Linked DNA regions of Struthio camelus. The protein of the gene in region 1 purifies or fractionates together with the protein of each later gene. This does not show direct contact. Links are inferred from orthologs where the notes say so. Each region holds a gene or a part of one and is shown on either strand. Other genes may lie near its edges. The genes, in order: RNF114 and protein mono-ADP-ribosyltransferase PARP12.

What was found.
Region 2: the proteins of RNF114 (region 1) and protein mono-ADP-ribosyltransferase PARP12 purify together in Homo sapiens (affinity purification with mass spectrometry; 3 studies listed by BioGRID and IntAct, counting the BioPlex papers as one, with this or other methods). This does not show direct contact. The link is inferred for Struthio camelus from reciprocal best matches to the Homo sapiens genes RNF114 and PARP12.

The regions. Positions count from the first base shown.
Region 1 is NC_090959.1:9,895,743-9,907,889, forward strand, and holds the start of RNF114 (E3 ubiquitin-protein ligase RNF114), read left to right. Parts: upstream 1-7,372; 5' UTR 7,373-7,460; coding exon 7,461-7,609; intron 7,610-8,146; coding exon 8,147-8,297; intron 8,298-9,920; coding exon 9,921-10,027; intron 10,028-10,768; coding exon 10,769-10,883; intron 10,884-11,815; coding exon 11,816-11,923; intron 11,924-12,147. Other genes in the region: SPATA2 (spermatogenesis-associated protein 2), read right to left, coding at 2,386-2,703. UniProt on the Homo sapiens protein: E3 ubiquitin-protein ligase that promotes the ubiquitination of various substrates. In turn, participates in the regulation of many biological processes including cell cycle, apoptosis, osteoclastogenesis as well as innate or adaptive immunity.
Region 2 is NC_090942.1:63,881,655-63,893,735, forward strand, and holds the start of protein mono-ADP-ribosyltransferase PARP12, read left to right. Parts: upstream 1-6,683; 5' UTR 6,684-6,730; coding exon 6,731-7,065; intron 7,066-7,991; coding exon 7,992-8,127; intron 8,128-9,188; coding exon 9,189-9,483; intron 9,484-10,471; coding exon 10,472-10,570; intron 10,571-11,757; coding exon 11,758-11,881; intron 11,882-12,081.

The DNA.
Region 1 (12,147 bases):
AATCAGTATGCTATATACTGACATTAACTTTTATATGAACCAAACAGGTTTCTGTTTACAAGCAAGTTTACCATAAAAGGTAAAAAGGCAGAGATTTCACATACTCCCTCTGGACAGGGGATAGCTGGAGATAAGCAGAACTTGGAATTATTGCATTATTTGCTTACCAAAGTCCTTTTCAATTCAGCTTTAAATATACTGAGGTGAGGGGTATTTGTAAAAATCGCAGCAACCTATTTGAGAAACTTGGGACTCAAGGTGAGAAGGCTGCATTGCTTATACTGTTTACACTAAAGAGTTTTCTTTATTATCATAATTCCTATTTTTTAAAAAAAGGATATAGGTCCATTTAAAATTCAGCCTCAAGGAGCAATTCTAGGGAAACACATGCATCCTGCAACCTTATCATAATTTGCGGATCAAATCTAGGTCTCTCACAAGAGTTTGCTAGCTTATACGTACAGCAAGTAATGCTGTTGACATGTATAAGACCAGACCTGCTGTAAATATTAAACTATGAAAGACAGAAGTCATCTGAAAAATAGAAGTAATTCTCCGGAACTTAAGTTTGGCTTACATGTTATATACACTTACAGAAACGTTCTGGATCGATTTCAGCAGGGGTCTACTAAGTTATATACCCATTCATCCCTATAAGCTGAATTTCCCAGTCTGAGGAATTCAGTGTTAGCATACAACGCTGATCACTCTCTCGAAATACCAGCACAGTGACTGGAGCATGTGGACCTACGTTTTAGATTACAGAACAGTCCTCAAACATTTAATTTTTGTTTTTCAGACCTACCAGAATTTCCTCTCAAGGCTTTATATCAGCAAGTATCTAGTCTGGAATAATTGAGGGGAAGATTTTAAAATAGTAACCCAAGCAACTAAGGCTAGATAGTTTCAAGTTCAGATGCACGTGCCAAACCACAAGCAAAGTTTAAGTCTCTTACCTGGAAAAGCAAAATGTCCATTTCACTGTGAAATTCAGATAACATTTTAGAATATCTGAATAGACTTAGCCAGTTTTCGGTACTGTGTACAATAAAAACTTTTACCACTTTAGTGTACTACTACTATACAGTTTTGAATGGCTGTTTTCTGTAATCTTAAACTAGGTCAAGAATTTATAGTTAAAAATATATATATACACACACCAATTTGCATGAGTTAGTTCCCTTAGCCTCTAGTATACCTGAGCTATGTTCTCACCACAGGTCAAATTGTTTTTGATTGCAAGCAGGTATAATTTGGCCATCAGATCCTTGTACTGAACAAATGTTGATCCACAGTGCACAACCAATCACCACCATCAGCAGCCGCACATCAAGAGACATCCTGCATGGACCATCCAACAATTCAAAAGCCTGAACTTAAGCATAATGATGAAGCTGACCTACGTGGAAATCTGGAGGAATGGAAGTTTCCTCTTAAGAGAGGCAGAGGAGTCTCAAACACTCCATTAATGTTCAAATTCTCTGATCAACTGTGAAACAACTTGGGGGGGGTGGGGGGGGAGGAAAAATAAAAGAAAAATACCCATCACTGGTACAAGCAACCCACAACGCATTTTAGACACCTATGCCAGAAACACTTTTTATTCTAACTTCAGGTTTCAAAACAGTTCTTTTAAGTCACTTGTAGCACGTACTACTGAAACACTGCAGCAGCTTTTAACAAGCATATAAGGAGAGGTAAAAGATAAAACAGGAAATCGACAGCAGAGAACTCATTAGCTGTCTTCTAGTATCCAAATCAAGCAATACACAAGTTCCTACATTTCACTCCAAGATCCTGGCAAAAGTAAATAATTTGAAAGTACATTAAAATCAAAGCTTCATAAGTTGAGAACCGACAAGCAAGTAAAAGACATTCTTGAAACTATTATTTAGAGATGTTTGCTCACCATTATTATATAACTTGTGGAAACCTCAGCAACGCATCGAGTTGAAAGCACGGATTGATTGTTAGTACTTGTGCTAAATTAAGAGCAGATGCAGCATAAAGAACAAACTTTGAGTGAGCTTACATGCAACCTAATCACTCGCCCTAGTAAGAGCATCTCCAAGTAGAAAATAAGGCATAGCAGCAGGAGAGTCTGAACAAAACCATTAGATAAGTTCTTCCACTATTTTAAGGTTATTTTACGAATGAAGACAGGATTTTGACTTCCACTATCCAGACACTCTCACCAATACAAAATCCACGTATTTTCCACCTAACCTTTCCTATGACTTCTGTTTACCAGCTGTGTGCAGTTGACAAATGTAAATATATACATTAGGCTGCCTTAAGGAGTGGAAAAATATCTTCAAAGGAAATGCATGAAAGACGCCAAAAAAACCACACGTTTTTGCTACTGCCACATATGAAATATCTTACCTTAATATTTTTGAACTCCTTTTTCCAGGGGTAAAGAAAGAGATTAATTCCAACTGTCTCGAGCACGCTGAACGCATTATGGAGAGAATGTAAACTTGAGGATTTCAGCGATCTCAGGGAGTTTTCAGCCATCTCATAAAATTTTATCAACCGGAATCTATAAAAGGGATCAATTTTGGGAAGGCAAAGTAAGGCTGACGCCGCCACTCGCAAATATTCATCATTAATAGGACGCTGCTTGCTGTCAGAGGCGTTCAGTTTGCATTCGTGGAACTGTACATACTTCCTAAATAAATCGTCTTTATATTTTGTATCCATTGAAATCAGATTTTGTCTCACACTTCGGCAGCTACCTCATCTCTTTCATGGTTATTCCACAGTAGGTTGATTATCTGGCATTAAGAATCTTCAGTAATGGCAACTCTTCTGGAATAAAAATTGAAAAAGACAAGTCATCACAGATGTCGATAGCATCTATTTGCCTCACAGGGTTCTATAAAATCATTCACAGTGCAGGGGCTCCCAGAACAGACTCTTTAGGGTTCTGAAAAAGCACAGGAGCCTACAGAAATGTTGGTGTCCTCCTTTTCACTGCTATTCTCTACTCCTTTCCCCAGTTAACTGTCTAAAACAGAGCACCAGAAAGCTAAATGGGGCAAGGCACCAAGAGTGTGATACCAGAAAATTGGTGGAAATTCAAGTCCAGATTGAGGATTCCTTGGCTAAGAGAACAACAGCGAAGGTAACTCACAACATAAGACCGAAAGACAAAAGCAGGGGTTTTTAGGGCGTCTTCTCTTTTTCTTTTATCGCGCCTTTTCGATTCAAACAAATCGTACAAACATGACGAGAATTGGTCACTGTTTTATTTCGTTTGCCCTGCACAGAGATATAAAGGTACAAAATCCCAAAAAGAAGTTTCTTTTTGCTCAGATTAGGAAAGCATATACTTCTCTTTTTGCTAGTGGCATAGGCTCGGCCCATAGAATTGAGCAGATTAATACACTTAGCCTTTCTACTTCTAACATTTTCTAGGCTTTTGAACACCACTCATTCTATCCAACGGCACACCCCGGCCATCGTGGTGCCGGCAGTACGCTGCAGCCACCCCCTAGAGAGCACATGTGCCCCCGAACACTGCAAAGTACAGCCAAAGCTTTAGCCAAATGCTAGTAGTAGCATTGTAACCTTTTCGATGGAAAGCTACAGCTACCAATTTTAACTGCTTTATTAGAACAGAGCAAAATCATTTCTGTGTTTATGTCATTTTGTTTGCAGGGCTGGTTGCTTTTACGTATTACTGACTATGCTTTTTCATCTCATTGAGTTCTTATCTCCCACACAGAAAAAGCTGGTAAGAAAATAAGCTTCCTAACATTACTTTACCAAAGCCAAGGTAACTAACAGGTCAACAGACTCCATCTAAATTTCCTGAAGAAATTGTGATCAGAAAGCAGATCACAGGCTTTATTTTTTTTGTACTGCTATTTTTATTTAAAAGACAGCACAATCCTAGTCCTTATACGCTTCCTAGCTCTAAACAAAAAAAGAAGAAAAAACCCCACACAATCCATTGTATCAGTTATAGTCAGTCTGAAACAGCATTTTAGAAAGACTTCCCACCCAATATTAATTTCAGCAGCCATAAGACTGCTGATTATTTTAGCAGAAGCCTATGAGGACATTGAAAAAAATCACTCTAAGTGCAAGATGAACTGAATGAAAGGAGCCATAACACAAATACATGACAAAAAAAAAAAAGGAAAAAAGGGTAGAAACAAGAAGGCCCAACAGCCTAGCAACTAATCTTGCTTGATGAGAGGATGTGCCTAACAGTAGCATCGTGTGGGAAAAGTTAACCAGCAGCTCAATTTCTGCTCAGAGGCATACTGCTCTTGGTCTTTGCACAAGCAGAAACGCACTGATGTCGGGAGAGAAGCTGTGAATCACAGGACACACGGGGTTCTAAATTAACATCTTAACACAAGGGGCAGAAGTAAGAATGTAATTCAGTCCTTTCCACAAAGCGCTCACTTCTCTCCCTCCCTCCAGGATTTTTCCCTCTTAATTTGTGTCAGACGAAGTCTGTGGACAAAAACAACACAATTTCTGTAACTTAGCGAGAACAGCTGTAGCTAGGCTGTACGAGAGAAGCGCAGACAGAGCTCTTCGCTTGGCACGCCAATAGCACAGCCTTAGGACAAGGGATGATCTTGCGTCGGTAAGGAGTTGGATTAAGGAGCAGCTCCTCCACCTGTAACGTCGACAGCTGCTTAACGAAACAGCTCAGACGTACAAGACGCCACGCTCGGGAAAGTCCCCGAAGGAAGAGAAAGCCCTTCATCAAGGCCTCACGCCCCGTGACATTCAAAGCCGCTGGCAGCTCCGGTCGCGACCCGCCGTTGGCGCGCAGGCCGGAGCTCAGGCGGCTGCGAAACGGAACACGACGAGCGCCAGGAAGCCACGAACCTCCGCAGAGCTGCGGCGCCGCCAGCAGCGGACCGGCCTCGCGGCGGCCCCCGGGGCGCAGGGGCACACAGCGCCGAGGGAGAGACGGGCCCGCCGCCGGGACGGGCAGCGCCGCGCCGCCTTACCGACGGGAAGCCGGGCCCAAGGCGCGCCCAGCGGAGGAGGCCGGAGAGCGGCCGGCCCGCGGCCGCCCCCGCGCCGAGCCTCGGCCCTCTCAGCCGGCGCGCAGCGCGGGGGAAGCTCGGGCAGCCAAACGCCGAGGCCCCGGAGCCGGCAGCGACCGCGGAGCGGCCCCGCTGCGGCACCGAGCCGCCGCCGCCCCTCGGGGGCCGCCGCCGCCCCGGCCCGCACTCACCGCCGCCGCCCCGGCCCGCCGGCAGGAAGCGCCCGGTGACCCGGATGTAGACTCCGCCCCCCCCCCCCAAGGCCGCGCTGCGCCCCCCGCCCCGCTCACCCCCTCCTCGCCGCTTGTCCTCCCGTCGCCGACCACGCGGGCGCTCCCGGTGGCGAGCGCGGAGGGCGACGGCGGCACCCCGGAAGTGGATGGCGGCGGGCGGGGGGTGGGGGGAGAGGGGGAAGCGGCGCCTCCCCCTGCGGCGGTGGGGGGGGGGGTCCGCGGTGTGACGTCAGCGGGCGGTGCGGGCGGCGGGGGGGAGGGGGCTCGGGGTGTCGGACTCCCCCGGCCGAGGGGCTCCGGGCGGAGGGACCCCCGTGTCCGCCCCCCGGACCCAGGGGACGGCCGGGCTGTGCCCCCCCGGGCTGTGGGACCCCCCCCAGGACCCCCCGGACCCAGGGGACGGCCGGGCTGTGCCTCCCCAGGCTGTGGGACCCCCCCCTAGAGCCCCCCCGGACCCAGGGGACGGCCGGGCTGTGCCTCCCCAGGCTGTGGGACCCCCCTAGAGCCCCCCCGGACCCAGGGGACGGCCGGGCTGTGCCCCCCCCAGGCTGTGGGACCCCCCCCCAGGACCCCCCGGACCCAGGGGACGGCCGGGCTGTGCCTCCCCAGGCTGTGGGACCCCCCCCTAGAGCCCCCCCGGACCCAGGGGACGGCCGGGCTGTGGCCCCCCGGGCTGTGGGACCCCCCCAGGACCCCCCGGACCCAGGGGATGGCCGGGCTGTGCCCCCCCAGGCTGTGGGACCCCCCCAGAGCCCCCCCGGACCCAGGGGACGGCCGGGCTGTGCCCCCCCCAGGCTGTGGGACCCCCCCCAGGACCCCCCGGACCCAGGGGACGGCCGGGCTGTGCCCCCCCCAGGCTGTGGGACCCCCCCCAGGACCCCCCGGACCCAGGGGACGGCCGGGCTGCGCCCCCCCGGGCTGTGGGACCCCCCCAGGACCCCCCGGACCCAGGGGACGGCCGGGCTGTGCCCCCCCGGGCTGTGGGACCCCCCCCAGGACCCCCCGGACCCAGGGGACGGCCGGGCTGTGCCCCCCCGGGCTGTGGGACCCCCCCCAGGACCCCCCGGACCGAGGGGACAGCCGGGTTGTGCCCCCCCGGGCTGTGGGACCCCCCCAGGGCCCCCCGGGCTGGGGAGCAGCCTAGGCGGGGGCGGCAGGGGGGTCAGAGCAGGGCGTTTCGGGGACCAGCCGCTCGGGGCCAGGCCGGCGCGGGAGGGCCGCGCTCGGCGCCCTTCGCCCCTTGTGTTTTAGGAGCCGGGGGGCGTTTGGCGCGCTCGCGCGTGGAACGAGAGCGGCTGGTGCCGCGGCCGCCCGCGCACCCAGCGTCGGGGGGACACGGGGAATAAAGGCCTGAAGGCGGCGGCGGATCCGCCCCTCGGCTCCCCCGCCAGGTGGTCACAGCCGCGAGGGAAGGAGAAAAGCAGCCGCTGCAGGGAATTACGCGTCCGTTCAACCTCGGCACGAGGCGTTTATGCCACGACCCTAACAGAAGGGATCGTGACGCCTTTATCGTTTTATAAACAGCTTCTGCGGTGCCCTGGCTTGCCCACCGCCGACAGGAGCTGCGTTGTCCTCCCGTTACCAGCTCGGCGCGCCCCAGCCGGCGCAGCCGGACCGCGAGAGCAAGGGGGAAACGGCACGACGCTCCCCGACCGCAAGATGCCGAAAACCGCCGGCAACCAACAGCGGCACCAATTAAACGCGGACGGCGGCGGCCTTGAGGCCGGGGGCGGGGGGGGGGGGGAACAGCCCGCGCCATCTACAATTTTTCACGCGGCCTTGCTCTAGCTGTTGGTAAAAACGCTCCTTTTCTCTTCCGCCAGGCAGAACCGCCGCCTCCTGCCTCACCCCGGGCCGCGGCCGCTCCGCAGGCCCGGGCGAGGCGGGCGGCCCCCGGCGGCGCTCGCCCTGCTGCCCGCGCCGCCACCGGCTGCCCCGCGCCACTGGCGGCCCTGCCCCGGGGCGCCCCGGCCACGCCCCCGGCCCCTGGGCACGCCCCTCCGGCCCCTGGGCACGCCCCCAACCTCGGGCCACGCCCCCTGCGCCGGGCCTCGCCCGCCCCCGCGGGGCGGGAGTCTCCTCGCCGTGCTCGCCCCGGCGCCGGGATCTGTGCTGCGGCTGCGCGCGGGCGGCTTCGCGATTGGCTGGGGGTTCGGGGCGGGGCCCGCGCGGAGGCGGAGGTCCGAGGGGGCGGTGGGGCCGCCGCAAGATGGCGGTGGCCGGTGGAGGTGGTGCTTCGCGCTCTCCGGAGCGGGCAGTGGCGGCAGCGGCGCGGCGGCACGACCCGCTGTCGCGCTTCACCTGCCCTGTGTGCCTGGAGGTGTACGAGAGCCCGGTGCGCGTGCCCTGCGGACATGTGTGAGCGGCTGCCGGCGGCGCGGCGCGGCGCGGCGTGGGGGCCTCGGGGGCGGCTCCGGGCCCGCGGGCCCCTTCCTCGACCGGGTGCCGTGAGCGGGCCGCGAGGCGGCGGGCGGGCGCAGAGGCCGCGGCGGGGGCGGCCCCGGGCCGGGCTCGGGCGGGCCCGGCTCCCGTAGGGGGAGGTCGGTGAAGCGGCCTTGCCCGAGGGGACGGGGGTCTGCAGGCAGCTGCGCGCTTTAGCCCGTTGTAGGGGCGCCGTGAGCCTCGCTTGACACAAAAACAGCGGCGCGGTGCGTTCGGTAGCTTCCCCCCACCTGTGAAAGCTGGTGGAGATAGAGATTTGTCGAAAATCTGATAATTCCGACTGTGATGGCCCAGACTGCACCTCCCGTCACACGGCACAAATGTCAGCCGGCCGCTGTCGCTTCTTGTGACTCCTTTATCGCTAATAACAGGGGGCATGGCAGGTCTCTGAGTGTTTTAATCGAGTTGTAAGGAGCGTCCTTCTCACCGCTTGCTGTTTTTCTCCCATGCTAGCTTTTGCACTCCGTGCCTGCAGGAATGTCTCAAGCCGAAAAAGCCTGTTTGCGGCGTCTGCCGCAGTACCCTGTCTCCTGGTAGCAGAGCTCTGGACCTGGAGAAGCAAATTGAAATGACGGAAACCACTTGCAATGGCTGCAATAAAAAGGTAGGAAAGCGTTTGAAAACCAAGTGCCTGAAGTGTTCCTGTTCAGTCCTACAGCTTAGAGGGAAGTAAAGTATTTGCTCTTCAGCTTTCTGCAACAACAGGTCAAATGCTTGTTTTAAGTACTACAGGCACTTTTTTTTTGTAAGTCGTTCCTAAATGTTGACGTTTTTCCACAGTCTTTATTGTTACCTCCCTAGGAAGTGAATTCTGAGTGTGAGATGCTGTGTTGGTTTAAAAATAATAATAAAATATTGCTACGAGGATGTCTGTGGGTGTAACGCTGTAAGGAAATGGTGAATGTGGTTTTAAACACTGAGAGCCTAGGCTTTTAAACAGAAGAACTTTGTTTGCTTCCTCAGAAATAGTTATGAGACAAAGCTGTCCTATATGAGCAGTATATTCCATATATTTTACTGTTTGGTAAAATCCTGCATATGAAACACTTAGAGGACACCCTCTTATCATTTACTTCCTCTTTGTAAGTTTGGGCTTCTTAGCATTGTCCCAATATACGGGAAAATATCTTGACAGATGGAAAGACAGCGAGAAAAGGTTAATTAGATGCATATTACACCAAAACTGCAGCTTTGTAGTTCATATGGTCCTGTATCTAATCCTCAGATTAATTGGTTCACTTGTAAAGCTAAAATCTTTAATTTAAAACTCATTAAAGAATGTCATTATGCTAACTGAACTTTTACAGCTCTCTTTTTATTAAAAAAACAAAGTTCCTCATCTCCTGCACTACTGCTGTTATATATTTCTCATAAACAAGGTGAGAGTATCTGTTCTGTTAGTTTCACTTTTGATTTCTGAGTAGTATCACCTTTTTTATTCTGGCTGATATAAAATTGCAGTCCCTTGACTTGTAGATTTCCTTACAGGAAATTTCAGTTTTCATTAGTGGGATAATGCTTGAAACACGATTGTCAGACTTGCACTTGGTTTTTGATGGAGGCTGATACATTAGCTATATCTTTATCTCGCATCTACTGCTAATCAGTATCTAATCCTCCTGAGTTATTGCCTATTTTTGTACCTCTTACTCCTCCTAAAAACACTGTTCTTTCTAGCTTGGATAGGGTTATTAAGATTCGGATCTAATTTAAAGCATGTTTGAAATCGATTGTTAGCCAGACTTCAAGCATAAAATGGATTTTTGCAAAGAAAAAAACCTTCAGGCTTTTGCAAGTAGAAATTGTGAAGTCAGGTTCGTCTCCGTTCCTTCGTTGTACGTGCTGCGTATCTGACAACGTTCTGCAGTACAGATCTTGGTGTAGATCAATTACAAAAAGCGAAGCTATTACCCGTATTGGCTCTTCTCCTGAGCAACCAGATAAACTGGCTTTATATGAAACTTTTATATTACATCTTAGGAAAAGTGAGCTGTCCTGAACAGCATGGTATTGGTAACATATTACAGGCAACAAAGTTACTGGTTAACTAGTACGTAGTCTTGACAGTTTTCTGTCTCATCAGCCTAATTGTTTTTCTGTTTCAGCATTTTCTATAGAAAGCCTATTTCTTTTGCGTATCGTTTACTTCTTCTGCCTAAAAGCCTGAAAGTGAAAGTGACTGCAAGTAGTTTAAACTGAGTTTGCTGTTTAATTGTTGTCTCTCCAGATGTATCTCTCAAAGATGCGTAGCCATGCAGCTTCTTGTTCAAAGTACCAGAATTATATAATGGAAGGTGTAAAAGCTGTAACTAAAGAACCCCTTAACAACACCAGGTAACTAGCTCTTCTCTTGACGTGCTATTTTTTGATACCACAAACTGGGCTGTAAATATTTAATCATTATGAAACTTAAAAATTGATTCTTGCTCTGAGAACAGTCCTTTTATCTTGTTTAAACAAAAGTTGACTGTGTTATGATGTGTCATGCAAACTGTAGAATACTGGAGTAAAAGCAGACTTTACCTCTTCACTCAGTTTGGGTGTTAATTCTTTTAATCCTCTCATATTGTTAAACTAAGCCTTCAACCTAACAACAGACTATGCACAGGCAAGCTGTTCTAATTTGTGATGTTATCCATGGATGTTTTAGTGCAAGATCAGGGTACTTAGTTAAAGGGGGGTGGGAGAGGTGTTAAGTAATAGTTTTGTCTTTCTGTCTCTTGATTGTAGTAACTTACAATGAAGGGAAGTTGCAGTGAGCCGCATTGTAGCGTGTTGGGTGTGTGACTGTGCCTTTTTAAAAAATATATATATAAGAAAGCAAACTGATAAATGGCATTTGTAACATTTGTAAGAGAAGTAGTTTTGTATAAATATGGATGATATTAAAAGTTCTTTAAGATATCATTAGGAATAAAGAAGCTGATTCTTGAAATTAGCTTGCCTTAATTGCGTAGAATGAAATTACTGCTTTGAATAATTTGTATTCTAAATAGCTGGTAAGATAAGTAGTTATTCCCAATGTTCTTAAGTTTAGCTTTCCTGAAACAGTCTCTTTTTCCTCCCTGCAACCAGGAACTTTCCAAATCGCTTTACCTTTCCTTGTCCGTACTGTAGTGAGAAAAACTTTGATCAAGAAGGACTAGTTGAACACTGCAAAACACTGCACAGCCTGGATGCAAAACAAGTGGTAATAATGAGTCTTGATTCAAGAATTGCAATGAAGTCTAGTCTTAAATCCCTTTGAAACAATGAATTAGAGACTTGCTGCTTGAAGTTAAGTACATGTTTATAATCGCTTCTGTTAAAGTCAAGTGTGGGTATGCTGTTCACGCACTTAAGTTTTACTTAATTGTGGTTTCGGAAACGTTTGCTGGAGGTGACTTTCTCTAGTCCTATTGTAGTTCACATCTTCCTTTTCTTATTTGAGAAATGGCAGGCATTTGAAGTAAATTATGCATGCTAATAAGCATAATATCATTCATATAATTTCAAAAAGATATTTACTGTTATTTAAGATCTCTCTATGCTATTCTCAGCAAGAAGATCTGTTATAAATGCATGTGAAAAATACTTGGAAAAAGTTGCATCTCCCTCTAGTAATCTTTATCTGCTTTTGCTCCCTCACGTACAGGAGGAATCGCAAAACTTGGAACTCACTTTGAAACTTTCATTTGTCTTGAAAGTGTTTTTTGGAATTCAAAATTATTAATTTAGGAAAAAAGTTCACTTCTTTCACTTTGAGAGAAGTGATCTTTGCAAAAGAGTTCAAGGAAACTGCTCTATTATTGAGAAAAGAGGGATGAAATCGCCACAGTAAACACTGTACTCAATAACTCTAATTTCCAGTATATAGGGAGAAGACCCTAAACCATTCCAGTTCAGAGGTCTAAAAATCAAATGGAAATAATGTAGGGTTATCTGAAATTTTTTTATTGACAGTCCTAGTAAAGTAATCTAAAATCACTTTACATATAGAGTAGTGACTGTCGCAAACCTCAGGCTTTAGTCTTCCATATTGTCTCTGTCCTGCCCTTCCCAGTGTAAACGTTAAAGCATTTAATCATTGGTACTTAATTGGCTTTCTTGTTGGGTGGTTTTTTTTTTTTTTTTTTCTTGAAGGTCTGCCCAATTTGTGCCTCAATGCCATGGGGAGATCCAAATTACAGGAGTGCTAACTTCATGGAGCACCTTCAGAGGCGTCATCGCTTTTCATACGATACTTTCGTGGTATGTGTTTTCTTACCTTTGGAATACAGGCTGACTCTTAAAATCCAGCTTTTTTGCATAGCTGCTACTGTGAAATCTGATTTGTGCAGATGATGTCTCAATAATCAATTTATCCATTATTTTAGAGAAATTGTATTATTGGCAAGTCAAAGGATGAGGCAGCTATTTTCTGAGTTTTCTTGGTGTTGAACTAACTAATGTGGCTGTTGCAGTATGGCTGAGTT
Region 2 (12,081 bases), on another chromosome or scaffold:
TTTTTTTTCCCCACAAGAAAGGGTGGGAATAGTTTTCTTACTGTATTAAGCTAGTAACATTAACATTTTTTAGATATCTAGTGAATGTGCCCTACTCACACAGTAAGGGTTAAGCTGATTGCCAGATTTAGAGTCCTGAGGGAACTTTTTCCAGGTTAGATCGGTGAGATACGTTTGTTTATTTGCTGTCCTGTGTAGTATGGACATGGTCTGCTTCCTGGGATCACTGAAAGTTTTACCTAACAAATTCCATGCTGTCTCAAGGGTCTAGGACACTAGTGATGACTTGCCACTTTCTTCTTTTGATGAGAGTTGTGTCTTTTTTTTTTTTCTTTAACTACAAATCTTAAGGTGCTAAAGGTGGCTCATGTGATGCCTGTCTCTGTGGCTCAGGGAGCCTGTTGATTCAGCAGAGGACATTTCTGAACTGAATATTTAATAAACGAGTTGCCTCTGATTCTGAGGGACTAGACTTGATGATCCAAATGACTGCTTCTGTCCAATGTTTCAAACCTATTTGATGAACATGTAGTGTAACTATACGCTATAGAGATTCCAATAATCTAGACATAAAATAGCATGGTTTTCTATGACTAGTACGTGCAGACACAGAATTTGTATTCATAAGGATTACATGTTTTCCTAAACATATCTCTTCACATTGCCAGCGGAGACATTAGCGGTAAGTCCTTATCAATGGAATTTCCTATTTTGTCTAACATGGGATGAAGCACCATAGGACCAGGCCAATTTCCGCACTGCTGCTGACTGCAGTGCAAAATGAAAAGTTACACAGAATTCAGTAACTGCGTTCTGGCTCCCGACAAATTGCATTTTTTAATCATAAAGAATTCTGAAAAAGTAACAACAACTGCTTGAACTGCTGGAGTTGCTCATTTAAACTCATGCGTGTAAAACAAATAACCATGATACATAGAAAAGTGGCTTGGTGGCAACTCGTACATTAAGGAAAATGGAATTGCTATTCACTAGCTGTCAAAAGGGAAGCCACTCCCACCAAAAGTGGAAGGCTTAGTGGAGGAATTAACAGATATATTCAGATTCAATATATTAGGACAGCAGACATTATTGTTGGATAATGTGGTGACAAATGAAGGCAAAACTGTTCCGAGCCAACAAAAGGCTTCTAAACTTTGAGCTTCTAAACTATTTGCATCTGTTTCAATAAACTTTTTGTTCCGGTTGGTTCCCATGGGTTTTTTTTTTCCCTCACCTTGCACAAATTTCACCTTGAATTTCCATTCTAAATGGAGAGAGACAGGAGCATAAAAACTCATCTGAAATAAATTGGTTTGGGGTTTTTTCCATTATAATCATGACACCTTTCCTGGCCCTAAAAGGAATGAATTTGTTGGCTCAGGTGTTTTCAGAGGCATAAAAAACTCTTGTGGCAATAAACTTGGACAGCACTATACCAAAGCCACTTGTTAAGTACATTCTGTTTTAGATGTAGCCAGCATATATACACTACCATTCACACAGCCTTTTCAGAGGTGAATCAAAATCCAGTTTGAGCCCTTACTGCTCATTTGAGGATCAAAGCAGTATTAAAGAAGGCATTAACACTGTTAGGTCCCGGGATAGGGCTGTGCTTCAGAGACTTAGTTCCAACAAACGCACACTAAGTTTTAGGGGCATATCTACATGCGAGCTGACAGGGCTCTGTGCTGCTTTTTCAGCAAGAGATGAGTCTCTTGAGTCACTGGATTAGGGGAACAGCCATCAGGAATGAGAACTGCAGGCAAAGCCCCTCAAAAGCAATAGAAAGATTCCCTCCTACATTAACTCCAATGAGCTTGGGATCAGACCCAGGAGCAGAGTGTACTCCTTGCAGGAATAAAGTAAGGAAAACAAGATGGGCAGCAGTGACGTGCAGAAGAAAGAAAAGTCTAGACAGGATGTTCTTAGGAACTGGTGGTTTCTGTACGATGGAAGGAGCCAGTGCATAAGGTAATAGGTCTGTGTGAAAAAAAACCTTTTTGTGGGTATAAAGCTGAGAAGAACAAAAGCCTTGCACCAAACATTTACATCTGCACCATGTAACTAAAACTTCATCAGAATAAAACTAGAACTGTGCCAATGACACATAACAGTATCATTAATTGAGCTGTGAATCCCAAGCCAAAAATATTTTGATTTTCAGGAGCAAGGCCACTTGTGAAGTATTTAAGCAACAGTGAAAACTGTAAGCAATAGAAATTCTCACATATACTGCTGGGCTAACAGTTTGATAAAAAACGGGTGTCCTATGTCACGCCCAGTTTTTTCTGTTAGCTTCGAAAATGAGCTCAGTGCTGAGGCAGTTGTAAAAAATGAGGATTTATACGGCTTTCTGGAGCGGTTGAAAGATCTTTGGGATAGCCAACAGCCCCACAGTCTGGTGTTATTCATGTACTGCACCAGAGTTGAGTTTTTCAGTTTCCTGCTTTCAAGTTGTGGGGCTTTTGTTGGTTGGTTCATTTTTAGGTTAGAGTACCACTGTGAAAATCTTTAAAAAATATAAGCTTGCTGTCAATTAGAGATGTTGACAGAGATGTCGGTTAGTCTACACTTCAGAAATACAAATAATAAATGAAGAAATTAGTGCAATATACAGAAATACTATATAGCAAACACAAGCCAATGTATTTCCTACAAAATGGACCAGCTGCAGATAAAGTTACTTTAAGTTCAGCCAAGTATTCAAAAGTAACCATCCTGTCAGATCACCACTGAGGAAATTATTAGTCCTATTCTTAGAGATTCCTTTTTGGATATGCATGGATAGTGCGAGGGACACTCCGAATGTGTATTGAAATGTAGGCTGAGAGGTGATCAAAAACATTTGCAAGCAAACATATCACACTAAACTGCTAAACCCTTGGTGGTCAACGATAAAGTTATGTCAGTCAGAAGGTAATGTTTCACCAGAGAACGTTCAAGCTCACAACTACGCCTAGGATCTCTCTTTTTCTGTCCATTTTCCTTACCTACGTAAAAATGTCACAGAACTGTAGGGGAGGCTCAGTACATCTGTTTCCATTACAAATAACTCCAAGGCAGGAGTTTCACCATGCTAGCTAGGAGAAGGGCTAAAACAGATAAAAACAGATAGATGAGGTGGGAAGTGGTGGCACTACATTCTATCACAACAATGGATGTTTTAAAGATATGTACACAAATCCACTGGAAAATTATTAAATTACTGCATTCTGAAGATTTATACGCAAGATTATGAAATGATGTTGCAATTCAAAATAACACAATTATCCATCAATTTTTACCAAAAAAAAAATATATAGTAATCTAATGACTGACTTTAGATTAATCTAATCTAAAAATTGTAAGGGGAGTTTCCACAGCACAATGCATCACATGTTAGCAAAGGTGGCTCACTGAAACTACTGTATCTAAAGCCCCACAACTGTCATAAATCCATGTGCTCTGAGTCCTGCAGGTGTTCAGAAACCATAGGAACTGCTTAAAGGGAGCTTATTACAGGTCCAACGCATAAAGCAGCCGTAAATTGTAGGTGGAATAGTTCATATACGTTATGTTACAATGACATTTAACAAAACAGAGTTTGAGGCTTACCTTTAATTAGGGTATTTGGGAGGTGAAGAGGAGCCAGTTGCCTTATGTGCCCTGAGGTCTCATGTAACCCTTTCTTATACTGGAGATATTTGATTTTCTAAATGAGAAGCTACTTTTCCATTAGCAGAAAATTCTTCTAAAGAAGGAGAAAATACAATTTTGCTTATATATAATTCATAGGTGGGGAAGTTGTATCAAATCAAAGAGGTACTTTTTTCTTCCTGAGGAACATGCTACCAAACAAACTACAAGAGATTTGTGTGAGAAGGAATAAGCTATGATTTACTTTGGGTATTCGTCTGGGGATGGGAAGGTACTTAATGTTCAAAGGCAGCTGCAAATCTTTTTGCTGCATCAATCATTGGCTGTTGTTCTAGTATAACTTCTGTTCTTGTGAAAAGTGATACAATGCTAGATCTGCTCCAGAGCCTTGAAAAATTCAATGTAGCTGCAAAGCAGGAACAGCAATGCGAACTTCCTGGTGAAATTCACACCAACAGATCAGAAGAAACTGCAATCAGTATAAGGCCACCTGCAAACAACACCCCTCAACACCTTACCTTGCTCTCCTTTGTACTTCTCCCTCTATCTCTACATTGGCATAGTCAATTCTACAAATTTTAGGACAAAAAAAAAAAAAAGCCTCATTTATTTCTGCCAACTGGGTGCTGTTTTCTAGGTGAAAGAGGGAAAAAGATATCGGGGACGTACAGTTGAAGCAGCAACCTCGACAGCACAGTGATGCTGAAACAAACGTTTAAGACGTAAGAAGATGGGACCCACTTAAATAGGATAGTTTTAGAGAACGAGACAAAAAAAGTAAATGGAGGCCTACTGGAATGAGTGGGAGCTGCTTAGCACCATGCTTGTTTCCGTGACTTTTATGAATGGGAATATCTGAGTGTTCAGTCAAGGTATTTCCTACTGAAGTGCCAGTATACGTAGTTATCCACCAATTTGACGTTTGACAACTTGCTGATATCAGGAGGCTTTCACCTGTGTTTTGAACAACTCAGGGAGGAAAGAGTGGAATTACTATCTGTGGTGTGTGAGCTCTCACTTAAAATTCCCCTGGTAATAGAGGACATAAAGGTAGCAAATGTGGCACCTGGATCTTAGGGGAGATCCAGATAACTAGAGACCAGGAAGCCAAATCAAGAAAAACTATACTAACATACGGAAAAGCCAGCAAGGCCTCTGTAGAGAACGTGTACCTCAGACACATACTGAAATTATTAGAGGGTGTCAACAAGAAGTATGTCGACAAGGGAGAGCCAAGTTCATACTGTTGACTTAAGATTTCCAAAAGTTCTTCACAGCTGAGGGAAGTCCCCCAGCGTACGCATCTTCAGGCCTGTACTATTCAACATATTCATAAATGGTCAGAAAAAGAGGATAAATAGCAAAGTGAAAAGGCTTGCTGAGAGCACTACGTTATTCAGGAAAATCATCATTAGGGTGAATTACGAAGAACTGCTGAAAGACCCTATGATACACTGGATGATAAAATGGCAGCTGAAATTCAGTGTACATTAACACAAGAAGGCAGAAACTGTCCTGTCTTCACACAGACAGTGATAACTTCTGAACTGACTATTACCAGTTAGGAATGAGATCTAAGGATAATGATGGGATAACTCTGTGCAAACACCAGTTCCAAGCTCAGAAGCCATCAATAAAATCAAACAGTAGGGGCTATTAGGAAAGCAGCAGAAAACGAAACAGAAAGTGCTGTTGTGCCACTGTACCTTTGATGCACTGCATAATATCTGCAGGTCTGGCCCTTAATGAAAAGACTATATTAGAAAGTGAAGGAGGACAAATATGGTCCAAGCTATGGAATAACTTCCATACAAAGGATGGCTAAAATAGATCCAAACTCTTCAGACTGGAAAGAGACAATGAAGGGAGATAAGTAGCTATAGAACCATGAAAAGAATCAAGAGAACAAATAGGAAACAATCCTAATAAAATTAGGGCATTTCTTCTGGTTCAGGAAATCAAATTAATGGACACTGGAAGGGTGGGAGGAAGTCAGGTACCTCTACAGCCTCTCACTCTCTTCTAGGCGTCTGTAGACGGCCTTTGTTGAAGGTAGGTTACAGACCTACATGGACCTCTAACTGACCTGTTATAGCTCTTCTTGTGCTGAATGTACTTGTTCAGCTTCTCCTTTCATCACTCCCTTCCCGATCTAACAGGGGAAGCAGGAAATAGGAAGAGACAAGGGGAAGGCAGCCAATTGAGCAAGGGCACAACAGAACTCACTGGTGAAGGAAGTACACACTGCTTTTGTTCAACGCCAAACACTGGCAACTTTAACAGCTCCCACGCCTGCTGCTGGCAGCCCAACAAAGAGAATGGTATTTTCTGGGTTTTTTTTTTTTTTTTCATGATTTAAAGCATGCCTCTGAATGAATGTGATGCAGCACTAGCAGTGCCAACATGACCCTAAGAGGAAGGCACTTAAAATGCCCAAAAGATGGTCCCCACGCTAAAGAGTCTATGAGCACCCAGAGGGTGATCACGGTAGCTGGCCGTGCTCTGGTGACGTGGCTGTAGCGCAAGAAGCATTGCCAATGGATGCATGCCCACGACTGAGTTTTTGAGATATCCCAAGGAAAGGAGTATGGGAATTCATTTCATTCTTCAATACCCTTCCTTATATGCCATCAGAAAAGCACCCAGCTCAGAAACCTTAACGGAGAATTGGATTTTCCGGTGCCTAACGACGGCTGAAAGCACCCTGCAACGTAACCTCCTGTAACGGGAGGTGAGGAAGGAGTCCCGGCTACCGTCTCTCCTTTCCCGCTTACATTTACAAAAGACGTGAGAGCTTGCAGCTCCTTCTACCAAATGCGGCTACACCTAGGCAGCCTCTCCCCGGAAAGAAAGACAACCAAAACGCCAGGAGGAGGCAGGCCCAGGGGCCGGCCCGCAGCACCGAGGTTAATTAAAAACCTCGGCGGCAGGAGCCGGGGCCGGGCCCGCCCAGCGCGGCCCCTGGCGGCGGGGCGGCCCCAGGCGCCGCTTTCGGTTTCATTTCCTCGCCGCTGGCTGCGAGGGAGGCGCCCGGGTGGAGCTGCCCGGGGGCGCCCAGCCGAGCCGGGACGGGACGGGAGCTGCGGGTCGCGGCATGGCGCTGGAGGGGCAGCTGCTGCGGGTGCTGTGCTCCAGCGGCGGCTGCCTGGAGCAGGGCGAGCTGCAGCGGCGGCTGCCGGCTTGCCTCCGGCCGGAGCAGCTGGAGCTGGTGCTGCGGGACGCGCAGCGCTTCACGCTGGTGCGGCGGCCGGAGCCGCCGCGGGCCGACGAGCGAGGGGCGACAGCGGCGGCGGCGGCGGTGGTGGTGGTGGTGGCCACCAGCGGCGTGCGGCTGTGCCCGGAGCACGGCGCCGGCTGCGAGGGGCAGTGCGGGCGGCTGCACCTCTGCAAGTACCACCTGAAGGGCGTCTGCCGCAACCAGCGGGCCAGGTGAGGGGCCGGGCCGGGCCGGAGGGCAGTGAAGGAGCGAGGCGACCCCCCCACCCCCACTCCGCCCCGCCCCAGGGCGGAGGTGTCTCTCTGCTTCCCCGTTGTCTCCCGGCGGCTTCCCCGGGCCGTGGAGCGGCGGCCGTTAAACGGGCGCGCGGGGAAGAGGGGACGTTGGGGCGGGGGGCGGGAGTCCGGCGCCAGGTAGCGCCTCTTGGCGGCTCCCGGGACGGGGGAAGCGGCCTGTTGGGGTGCGACGGGGCCGTCCTCGGCGGGTTTGTCGCGCCTCTTCGGACGTGGAGCGAGCCTTCAGCAAACACCTGCCTGCCCTTCCGCTGCTGGCGCTGAGGGTGTTTTAAATGAATGCCTTTTTTTTTTGTTTTTTTCCCTTTTCTCCTTCCCCCTAGGGGGAGAGATATCGGAGGTTGTTTTACCGACTCTTGCTTCGGTTGCAACACTTCCTTCCTTGCTCGCCGCCCAGCTCGTATCGCTTCCCTTGCAGGGCATCCGTTAGGCCCAGAGCTCGGCCTAGCCCCGCGGCGAAGACCGAGCGCGGCCGAGGGGTCGCAGCACTTCATACAGCGCTGAGTTTCGGAGCTGAGTTTGCCGCGTGGGTCGGGGTCGGTGGCAGCGTTTTGGCTTTTTGGTGGTGCTTCTCCTGTGTCGTTTTGCCGGGAGCTGCCGGTCAAAAGCGCCAATGTTGCCAGACTATGCTAATGCCGTAATGACTGTAAATTAGAAATAAAATGGTAATTATCCACAGACTAATTATGTAAGCTGCTAGGCAAATCACATAATTGCTTGATGAGGACGCACTATAGCCAGTTTCGGAAAAAAATCTGATTTGGTGTGCTGTTTAGTGCAATACAGATGGGATAGCAAAATTGTGCCGATCTATTACGTTAATTTTACGTTTGGCTGTCTTGTAGGAAGGAATGCAAGTTTGTTCACAACTTTCACTCGGAGCACAATCTCTATGTGCTAAAACAGTATGGACTTGAGAATTTAAACAGTGATGAACTCCGCCAGCTGCTTCTTCAAAATGACCCTTCGCTCCTACCAGAGGTAAGCAATACTGCAGCAATTTCTTATCTCTGTACTTCTGTGAGCATCACTAAGTGGAAGAGGCTGGATATTAGCTGGAGATACGTACACAGTGTTGACAAACGCTGTGCTGAGAAATGTTCATGGTCATAGGCTGTGAGCTGACAGACTTTGTTTTTGCTTAGTCTCACTTCTGTGAACAGTTTAATTGAACAGAATGAGTGAAGTACAACAGTACTTGCAGAAGAAAACTGTAAGTTTGAACCCTCTTCCCTTCATAGTCTTTGTATGTGGGCATTGGCCTGCGTTACCCTTGCCTCTCCAGTCTTGTTTTCCAGTCAGAGTTTTGCAGATTGTAGTACTGTGAAGGGATAGAGCTCTACCGTGAATTGATAGGCGTTGAGTTTATTGTCACTGGAAGTGGACATATCTTTGTGTTAGGCAATAGAAATGTTTCTTCTGTCCGTGGTTCACTCGGAAATCTTCAAGAAACTACATGCATTGGTTGGCAGCTTTTCAATCTTCTGAAGGCATTCTGGTGTATATATAGTATGGCATGTACTGGTATTTTGTAGATCATTCTCTACCGATATTAGTATTTGATAATTATAATATACATCTTCAGTTGAGAGTAAACCATTTAGATTTTCAAAAGAAAGGACGAATCAGTTCAGGTTGGAACAATCCAGATCTAAAACTTTAAATCTGTATCCTCTCTTCTCTCACTACCAAATTAAGGTCAAAAAATTCACCTTTCCAAAACTAGAAAGGCAGGGAGTTTAGAGTAGTATGCCACAATAGAATCCACTGTCCTGCATTTATGTGATCTAGGATAAAATCCCAGTTGCTTGAGAATGTTTGTAAGATAGTTGTTTCTTGTCTGATGAAATATCTTTCTAAACGTCAGTGGGGAAAAGGAAAAACCTATCAAGTAATCATTTGGAAAAGAAGAAACATGCACAAGTCTTTTAAATGCAAATGTGAAATTGCAACTGTAAAAATGTAAAATCTCTTAAATTAAAGCAGTCTATTTTGAGTACATTATACTTCAATCTTTAAATTCTTTTTTTTTCCCTACCAAGGTCTGCTTGCATTATAACAAAGGTGATGGACCTTATGGATCTTGTACCTATAAAAAGATCTGCACCAAACTGCATATTTGCCAGTACTTCTTGCAGGGACAATGCAGATTTGGCAGCAGCTGCAAGCGATCCCATGACTTCTTAAATTCGGAATGTTATGAGAAACTGGAGAGACAGGGAATGAGCTCAGACGTTATTGAGAAACTACCCTCCACTTACAGGAACATGTATGACATAAAAAATGGCACCACGAACGTGTACGACACAAAAGATGGCAAGTCTTCACCATGCAAAGGTAAATCGCATCATCTTTTGAAAACATCAGAGGAGGAGTTAGGATAGTGAACTTAACATTTAGACACGTTTATGTTAACTGTGGCATTAACACGGCTGTCAAAACAAAAAAGAAAACTGAACTTGCTACCTTGCACCCAAGTCATTGACAGAGGTTGTGTCTCAAAAACTCAGGTGAAATCAATTCCAAGGCATTATGGGTGCCTGAGGAGTAAAGTGCTTGGTGTTTATAAAAATCTTAAAGCTTGGGTTAGAAGAGCATAACAGGACCAGAAAATAGAGACTTCATGTTTTCACCAAGAAAAATCACAGAAGAGGAGTAGAGAACTGTTTAAGAACAGAGGTGGCGTTTATTTGTGTGTTTGTAAACTACTCCTTTCTCCCTTTTATTTTTTTAATCTAGCTGTTGTCTAGCACAAAAAATCACAGCGAGCAGAATCCTAGTTACTTCTCAAAAATGTATTGCTATTTTGCTCGTTCTTGTCTTTTGAAGTTCCTTATAGTTGTCAGTCAAGTATAATTTAGCAGGGAAAAGGATAAGAGTGGAAAATCCAAGTGTGTGTGTGCGTGTATTTGTCTTTGCTGTTCTCCTAGCAATTCCATCTTACCTTCTGTTTCTGGAAATGCGTTTTGATTTACAGAAATACCAGATTTCGAAACTCTGAATTTTATAGATGTCAATATGAGCAGCTATGTGGAATGCACAGATAATTCCAGTCTGTCTAGAAATGCAAAGGCATTGGATTCCCTTCTTATTTTGTGGTGATAGCTACAAACTGAATCTGAGGAATTTAGCACTTGTGTGAAAATCATTCAGAAAGGCATAGGACTTATGTGTGTATAAGATTATCAAAGACTTCAGTGTCTTTCCTGAGCTGAACTCAGTTACATAGTTACAAACCCTGTTTCTAGGCCCTAGCCATAGATGCCCATGTAGGAGGGCTTGTTGAAACAATGCGTATTAACAAGGCTTGTAATTCCCCCTCTAGAGAGAAAACGCAGCTCTAGTCAAGAGTCCTCAACTACGAATGATGACAAATTGGAACAGATCTGTTTATATCATCTATACAAAAGTTGTAGCTTTAAAGGTAGGTTGTGATCATAGCAAGTCTACTTTATTTTCCTTTTCTTAGAAAAAGAAAACAATAGATGCTTTTCACAGAAAGTGGAAATTTCAGAGCTTACACTTCTCTTGAGGGCTGCAGAGAAAGTGTTTGACCTACTTGGCTTACTTAACAAAGGAGCTGTTCTGACTTCTTCTAAAAGGTGTGATATTGGCCTGTGTTGGAGATTGTCTGCTCCAGCTGGGTTCACGTAAGGGACTGCTGAACGATAGGATTCCTATTTCCACATGACTAGAGACGACACTGTGAACTCTGCATTGTCCCTTGTTTCTTCTAGCACTCTTCCATTCTATCTGTCTGAGCTCTGTCTCCCTTTAATCATGTTCTGACTGGTCCAGGGAAAATGCTGCTGTGCCAACTTACTTCTTGGGGTGTCCTTTTCTCATCCTTTTCCTTCTTGATGTTCTTGACCTGTAATACCTCTCTGGAGTACTGCGTATCTTGTTGTATGAACTGTGTGGTGCAGCCTTCTTGACTTTTCCTGTTGTGTTGCCTGTTGCTCTCCAGTGAAAACTAGCGTTCTGCCTATTTGTGCTGATTTGATCTTCACTCCTGTCAGTTCAGGAGCTCTGCACTGCTACTTTGAGTGATTCCTGAGTGACCCCCGCAATACCTGGGCTGCTGTTGGCACTACTGTTGTTACTTTTGAGGCCTGGACCCTTAAGCCTGCTAGCTCATTTGGAGACTTCATTTGCTGTCCTAAAACTGAACCCTGCTTTTTTCAGTAATACCACTTGGGGAGCTAAATGATTAAGCAAAGAAATTTTACTTGAGTCTACACTATTCCTTTTATGAAATACTAGCCTTGTATGAGCTTGTGATCCTTGATCCATTGCAAATTTTCTGTCTTCTAAATCAAAAATACCAAAAAAAAAAAAAAACAGTCCTTCACAACTGTTTTTGTGATAGCAGGACTTGCCATCAGTTTTGATGCACAAAGAGAATCTAGTAGGTAAAGAAACTGAACCTCTCCCTAAGCTCAGAAAATCTAAACTACTGCTTGTAATGATTTCATAGGTGAGCACTTTCCATAACCATGCATTTGATGCTTTTTACCAGCTAGATGTTTATCCCAGAAATGCTGTGGTTTTTTTTTTTCCCCTCATAGACTGAAAAAATAATATCTCTCTTACTTTCTCCTACTTTTATAGACAAGTGTATCAGAGTTCATTTTCACTTGCCATACAGATGGCAGATCTCTGATGGTAATACCTGGAAAGACTTGAAGAATATGGAAGAAATAGAAGAAGCATATTGTGATCCCAGCAAAACCAGGTATAAACTATTATAAGTCTTAATAATGTTCGGAGTTTGCCCTCTGGACATGCAATATTGGGCCAGGCTCTTGGCTGCTGTAAATTACTGTGCCTCTATTTCAGTCATTACGTATGTAGCTTCATTTGATATTCCTTGACCTCGCTTTGCTTATCTACTCTTGCTGTGGGTCTGATCCTCTGTGATTTATTTGTACCTGG